Linked DNA regions of Saccharomyces cerevisiae S288C. Changing the gene in region 3 together with the main gene of any one other region gives a genetic interaction. Each region holds a gene or a part of one and is shown on either strand. Other genes may lie near its edges.

The links.
Region 1: mutations in COA6 (region 3) and YER188C-A together harm fitness more than expected from each alone (negative genetic interaction), as found in Saccharomyces cerevisiae (one large-scale study listed by BioGRID).
Region 2: mutations in COA6 (region 3) and SPG1 together harm fitness more than expected from each alone (negative genetic interaction), as found in Saccharomyces cerevisiae (one large-scale study listed by BioGRID).

What each region holds. Positions count from the first base shown.
Region 1 is NC_001137.3:569,101-571,664, forward strand, and holds YER188C-A (uncharacterized protein), read right to left. Parts: upstream 808-2,564; coding exon 508-807; downstream 1-507. Other genes in the region: YER189W (uncharacterized protein), read left to right, coding at 2,055-2,423; YRF1-2 (Y' element ATP-dependent helicase protein 1 copy 2), read left to right, coding at 2,380-2,564.
Region 2 is NC_001139.9:962,030-964,547, reverse strand, and holds SPG1 (Spg1p), read left to right. Parts: upstream 1-1,730; coding exon 1,731-2,018; downstream 2,019-2,518. Other genes in the region: YGR237C (uncharacterized protein), read left to right, coding at 1-1,250; MIC26 (Mic26p), read left to right, coding at 2,487-2,518.
Region 3 is NC_001145.3:757,923-760,567, forward strand, and holds COA6 (Coa6p), read right to left. Parts: upstream 910-2,645; coding exon 595-909; downstream 1-594. Other genes in the region: YMR244W (uncharacterized protein), read left to right, coding at 1-395; long-chain fatty acid-CoA ligase FAA4, read left to right, coding at 1,885-2,645. UniProt on the Saccharomyces cerevisiae protein: Involved in the maturation of the mitochondrial respiratory chain complex IV subunit MT-CO2/COX2. Thereby, may regulate early steps of complex IV assembly.

The DNA.
Region 1 (2,564 bases), on a different chromosome or scaffold from region 3:
CGACAAATAGATTCGACGTATTGAAGTACTTCTTGGCCACTTTTCATCTTCTGACGCGGTGAGCTTTTAAGAGCCCTTCTTTTTCGACTGGCCACGTGAGAAGACATACAGTTCAGCTTACATAGCTTTGGCCCATACAATACCTATGTGCCCCAAACCGCAGAGACGATTAGCACACCTTTTTACCTGCACCACAGTCATTTCTCGATAATGGTGAAAACACAGTGATACCACCGCACAGCAAAGGTGCTGCCAATGGACTTGAAATATTTTATGGAGTGCGAATAAAAAAATGCTCATGGACTCGAATATGAGATGCAAAGCCACCCTGTGCAAAATGGTTATCCTTGTGGGAGAGTGTTACGACAGTGATGTGGCATATTATTCTAATGTATGGTCTGTGTAAGTACGAAATATTCTGAAATGGCATCCGTTCAAGCAATGGTAATATTAAGGAACTTATACGTTAATGACGTCATGGTGGTATTGATACGTAATTGAGTGTGTTTATGTATTATCGTTGAAGGATAGAATATTTTTATGTTTAGGTGATTTTAGTGGTGATTTTTTTGTAATATTGACATAAGTGTATATAAATTGAGTGGATAGTAGATGGTGAAAAAGTGGTATAACGTATGTATTAAGGGCAGTTATACAATATTTGGGGCCGCCGAATGAGATATAGATATTAAAATGTGGATAATCGTGGGCTTTATGGGTAAATGGCACAGGGTATAAACCGCTGAGGCAAGTGCCGTGCATAATGATGTGAGTGCATTTGTACTGATTTAGTGAGAGATGGGCCATGGAGTGGAATGTGAGAGTAGGGTAAGTTTGAGAGTGGTATACTGTAGTAGCATCCGTGTGCGTATGCCATATCAGTATACAAGTGAGGGTGAGTATGGCATGTGGTGGTGGGATTGGAGTGGTAGGGTAAGCACGTGTGTATTATTTACGATCATTTGTTAACGTTTCAATATGGTGGTAGAACAACAGTATAGTGAGTAGGACATGGTGGATGGTAGGGTAATGGTAGGGTAAGTGGTGGTGGAGTTGGATATGGGTAATTGGAGGGTAACGGTTATGGTGGACGGTGGGTTGGTGGTAGGAAGTAGAGGGATGGATGGTGGTTGGGGTGGTATGGTTGAATGGGACAGGGTAACGAGTGGACAGTAGGGTAATGGAGGGTAAGTTTGGAGACAGGTTGGCGAGGGTTAGATTAGGATAGCATATCTATGTCACCTTATTGCATGCTGGATGGTGTTAGACAAGGCCGTAGGGACATATAGCATCTAGGAAGTAACCTTGTACGAAAATAGGCAATATTTCCTGTTTGACGCAGATTTTAGCCCAAAGATCTAGCGTTAAGGAATTTTTTTATAGTGGGACATTGCAAACCAAGGAAGTAACTTGATACGTCGTTGGTGAATGGGTCTGTTTTCTTATTCGGCGGGGTAATACATTTTGAGGGAAGGTTGTCTGTCTGACGCGCCATATGTAGGTACGCCAAAAAGGGCTCCTTTACTTCGAAGCGCGAGGTCGTATACCTAATAAGGAAATGTAATTTATAACTTTTTATTATATTGGTCTTTTCGAGAGCGGAAGAAGTTGTAGGCTAAGCGCAGGCTAAGCGTAGGTCCATGTTTAAAGTATCCAAGAGAATATCCACGAAGCGGCTGAGCAACGAACAGAATCCTGGTTCTCCTCGACTAAGCAGATAGTTAAGATACTGTGCACCATGGAAATTGAAAACGAACGTACGTACCGACTACTTTATTTTTGCAGGCCGGAAATCAAGCGATGAATGAGACATCCTTCTGTTTTCTATGTTGTGCTTGAAGGGGACAGACAGTCGCTTATCTTAGTGAGATTTTGTTTGCTTTTGCTGCACCTGCATAGCGCAGATTCTGCATCTTCTCAATAGCTTAATTATTACATTCTTAGATGATGATAAGACGGAAACTGGAGAATCTTTTGTTTATATTGATGGATTTCTTGTCAAAAAGCATAACAATCAACATACTATTGTTAATTTCGAAACTTACAAAAATAAAATGAAAGTTTCCGATAGGCGTAAGTTTGAAAAAGCAAACTTTGACGAGTTTGAGTCGGCTCTAAATAACAAAAACGACTTGGTACATTGTCCCTCAATAACTTTATTTGAATCGATCCCCACGGAAGTGCGGTCATTCTACGAAGACGAAAAGTCTGGCCTAATCAAAGTGGTAAAATTCAGAACTGGTGCAATGGATAGGAAAAGGTCTTTTGAAAAAATTGTCATTTCCGTCATGGTCGGGAAAAATGTACAAAAGTTCCTGACGTTTGTTGAAGACGAACCAGATTTCCAGGGCGGACCAATCCCTTCAAACAAACCACGTGATGGTCTACACGTTGTTTCAAGTGCATACTTTGAAATTCAATAGAAAGGATTACGATACCCTTTCTCTTTTTTACCTCAACAGAGGATACTATAATGAGTTGAGTTTCCGTGTCCTGGAACGTTGTCACGAAAAAGCGAGTGCTAGGCCGAACGACAGCTCTACGATGCGTACTTTCACTGACTT
Region 2 (2,518 bases), on a different chromosome or scaffold from region 3:
TTACTACAATTCCTGAGTTTGAAGCAAAGATTGATACTCTAGCATATAAGGAGAAAAGAAGGCACCGCTTAGAAAGGATGACTAGCAATACTAGTGAAAGCATGACTACCGCGTCACATAGCCTTATAGGCCCGGATCTCTCTAGTCCTTTATCAACGGGAATAAGAATAGAAGCTATTCATAATGAGGCTAAGCAAACTTGTAGCGATATTTTAAATTACTACGCGAGAAGATTGGCAACTAAAATAGTTAGGATTAGTATTGAGATGGTAAAAGAAAATTCAACAAGATCAGCCATAATATCTGCGACCTCTCTGTATAGGCCAAGTTTGCAAGTAATCAGCACCGTTAGTGCCAACATTCAAATCAAGTTTAGAAATGGAAAAGTGAAACTACCATTTTTTTTAATGAAACACTTTGCAATGCCAGCATTTGTTGTCCCATTCGAATTCATCAAGCCTGAGCTTTTAATAAAACCTAGAGTGGATAAAGATGAACAGGACAACAGCGATGATTTGAAAACGGAAGTGAGAAAAAAGGAACGATTGCAATGGCTAAGTGCATTAATCAGGAGAACTTTGGAAAACCCTTTCACAAAACATAAAGTGGTTGATTCGGATGATGAAGAAAGCGATAGTGATGAGTCAGTAACCTCTGTAAATGAGTACTTCCCAATCTCACCTGAAAAAAAGGAAGAAATGGAATTCTTCGATAAGATGGGATATGTTAGACCAAAACCGTCGAGACAAGTACTATTGGATGATAACACTCTTATGAAGTACGACAGTTCTGGCCGAAAGCTAACTCCTATAGAATCGAGAAATTCGAGGCGCAGCTCAAAGCGGAGTTCAAGAATACAATTCAACAATAACGGCATTTATAAAGTAAAGTCCATGGTTGATGACATTTACAACCACGAAACTGCCTCTACGCCTCATATCAAGACAGCACTAAAATGGGACAATGAGGATCCGAAAATGAAGTTCACTTCACATCCAATGAGAAAAACAAAATCCGCAGGGCTATCACCCAGAACATCCTCCACTTCATCTTCTTCAGGACAGAGAAAAGCGCATCACCACCACCATCACCACAACCACGTTTCAAGGACGAAAACTACCGAAAGCACCAAATCAGGCAACAGCAAAAAGGACAGTTCCTCATCCTCAACAAACGACCATCAATTTAAAAGGTCTGAAAAGAAGAAAAAAAGTAAATTTGGCTCGATCTTCAAAAAAGTTTTCGGATGAACCGGATTAATACAAGTAAAATCAGCAAAGATATAGAAGACAAAATAAGCGTGAAAACAATCATAAACCACTCACAACGGGGGTTTTCAGCTGTTACTCCTCCATACATACATTTTGATAAAGATATAATGTTATATTTCTTTTCGTAATTTTGTTTTACTTCGGTTTGCTCTATAGATTTCATCAGCCGCACCGAAAAGGGAGATCAATAAGGTACCCTTTAAAAGGGATAAGAAGCCTACATCACCCCAATAAATGGAGTAATGGCCAGCATTGGATGAAGAGAAGAATTACGGGATACTGGGATAACACTGTTAAAAATGCTTCGCGACGTGAGGGTCTTCTTCATATAAATTGAACTGCCAAATCTCTTTCACATTATCCAGGATAGTTTGGAATGTGTGTTACTGAAGGATCAGAATCAATAAATACAATCAATACAAATATTTAGCGCATAAAATTCAAACAAAGTTTACTGAAATGAAGTTAGATTCAGGAATATACTCAGAGGCACAAAGAGTTGTGAGAACTCCAAAGTTTAGATATATTATGTTAGGGCTGGTGGGCGCTGCTGTGGTACCGACCGCATACATGAGGAGAGGCTATACGGTTCCTGCACATAGCTTAGACAACATCAACGGCGTAGACACAACTAAGGCGTCTGTTATGGGTACAGAACAGAGAGCAGCTATGACGAAGGGTAAGAGTTTACAAGAGATGATGGATGATGATGAAGTAACGTATTTGATGTTCTCTTCAATCATGTAAGGGAATTTGTACTTGGTTCCCTGCATTTATGTTCTTTGCATTTTGTTTTCGCATTTAATCATAGTACGACAAACGGGGAAGGGGATTGTGATTTTACATAAGGCCCCTCCCATCATTGAGAAGGTTATTAATCAATACATATATAAGCATTTTCTTTTATACATTAATTGAACTGATATTTATTTTATGACGCAATAAAGCCTCTAATGCACTGCTATTATTGTTACTGTTAGTAAATATTCAACTAGCATAAATGATTGATGAGGGGATTCATTGCAAATCATTGGTGAGTTCCCTTTACATACTAAAGCGCGGGTAACCGTTACTTCTTTTATTTTTAATCTAATGGAAAGGCGAATAAGCTACTGCCCTATAATACTAAACTTGAAAAGAAGTTGCGTTTGCAACCGACTATAGCGCTCAAGGATATACAAAAATAACTACTGTATTTGATATAGCACGGAAACAATGACAAAAGATTTTTACCGTCAGCTAGATCC
Region 3 (2,645 bases):
CCAACATGGACGACAACCAGAACACTTTTGTAAAGATTGGATGGAACCCCGTCTACCTGGAATCGTCATGTCCGTTCAAGAACGTTAAGCCTTCATTCGGTATTAGAATTACTTGTGATGACGAATCACAATGTGAAGGCCTACCATGCTCCATTGACCCAAGTTCTAATGGAGTCAACGAAGTGACAAGTTCTGGCGGTGGTTCTTCCGGGGCTGGTGGTGGAAACTTTTGTGTTGTCACCGCCAGAAACGGCGCCAAGGCCAACATCGAAGTTTTTGATGTTGGTAGCGGCTCATCTTCTAAAGGCAAGAGAGAACTGAATCCGCTAGACGTTATTACCACAACGGTCACCGAGACCAAGTACAAGACAGTCACCGTCACTGCCAAAACTTAGCGCGGTTTTTTCTACCTTCCCTTTTTTCATCTTTTTGTTATATATATATACAGAGACACTCATGCGAATTTTCGCAAAACGAAGAAAAAAACATAAAATTTTCGTTTGTATCTACATGACTATCCTTTAATTATTACCTTTCTGTCAAATGTTTTATGGGAATATATATGTTAATATGAGCCAATAACTCACTAAAAACTCACTGATTTCGTTCCCTCTGTTTAGCTTCCTGCTCGATTCTCTTGATGGTCTGCTCTCTCTTAAAGTCGATGACCCTCTTCTCCTTGAAGTACTTGATCCAGCTATGGGCGCAATTCTCCTCAAATTTTTCATTTTCCACCTTGCAGTGCGACTTTATACTCTTGCTATTCTTGGGGTCCATTGCGTCCAAGATGTCTGCCTTGTCCAAACACTGGAAGAATGCGTCCCTGGACTCCCAGCACAACTTTCTCTGTGAACGGGTATTAGGGGGTTGTGATTCCTTTTTGCCACCATCAAATGAAAATAAGCCCATCGCTATATTACTACTATTCCTTTCTGTATATTCGTGTATCTATGTTCCTGCGCAGCGCTACAATAGTACCCGTCTATGTATGTATGTATGTATGTATGTAGGCGAATCTTCTCCCCCATTCTACAAAGCAGCACCTACCACCGCAGCACCGTTTCACATGTCCGTCTCTTTTGTTCAGCTCAGCTACAATCGTCAATCGCACTTTCTTCCGCGCGGGCGAGCCCGGTTTTGTTGGATTTGCTCAGGTGCCAATATACCATCAAGGAACGGACAGGGACCTGACAATACAATAGGCCATTTACATCACAATGCACAGGGACAGAAATTTATACACGATAACAATACCAACTAAACAAAAATATCTCCCGAGCCGATGCTTATTCCGCGGGTTCGATGCCGAAATAATTGTTGCATACGCTTTATCCAACACGATGGAGCGTGTTGGGCGCTTAAAGAAGAGACTCACTAAACTGTTCGGCTTTTTGGCTGCGCGTCTTTGCCGTTTCCCAACAAAAAACAATCATACTTAGTAACAAGAAAGACAAAAGCGCAAACCGAACCGCCCAGCTCAACCATCTTCGCCAAGTAGCGGCAAACTTATATAAGCTCCAACGATGTCCCCATCAATTAAGAACCCTCGATTGTCGGCGATCTATTTTTCTATTCTGGGTGTTTCTCGGCCTTCGTTCATCTCGTTCTTTCTACTCTTAGCCCTCATCTTTCTCTTCTGCATTCTTTTCACCTCATTAAGAACATTCGCGGCGCCGCTTTACCCCAACAAAAACAGCCCATCTTTTGTTCTACCTCTTTCAGATAAGGCTCAACAGATAGACAATAACTGATCATTCTTTCTTTTGTTTGCAACCCCTCTGAGTTGACATAAAAGCGAGAATACAAAAGAACCAGCATTAGTAACACATCATTTTTTTCTCTGTTCTTCACTATTTCTTGAAAAACTAAGAAGTACGCATCAAAATGACCGAACAATATTCCGTTGCAGTTGGCGAAGCCGCCAATGAGCATGAAACCGCTCCAAGAAGAAATATCAGGGTTAAAGACCAGCCTTTGATTAGACCCATAAACTCCTCAGCATCTACACTGTACGAATTCGCCCTGGAATGTTTTACCAAGGGTGGTAAGAGAGACGGTATGGCATGGAGAGATATTATAGATATACATGAGACGAAAAAAACCATAGTCAAGAGGGTGGATGGTAAGGATAAGCCCATCGAAAAAACATGGTTGTACTACGAACTGACTCCCTACATAACCATGACATACGAGGAGATGATCTGCGTAATGCACGACATTGGACGTGGGCTGATAAAGATTGGTGTTAAACCTAACGGTGAGAACAAGTTCCACATCTTTGCCTCTACTTCTCACAAGTGGATGAAAACTTTTCTTGGTTGCATGTCACAAGGTATTCCTGTGGTCACCGCGTACGACACTTTGGGTGAGAGCGGTTTGATTCACTCCATGGTGGAAACAGATTCCGTCGCCATTTTCACGGACAACCAGCTGTTGTCCAAATTAGCAGTTCCTTTGAAAACCGCCAAGAACGTAAAATTCGTCATTCACAACGAACCCATCGATCCAAGTGACAAAAGACAAAATGGTAAGCTTTACAAGGCTGCCAAGGATGCTGTTGACAAAATCAAGGAAGTTAGACCGGACATAAAAATCTACAGTTTCGATGAAATTATTGAGATAGGTAAAAAGGCCAAGGACGAGGT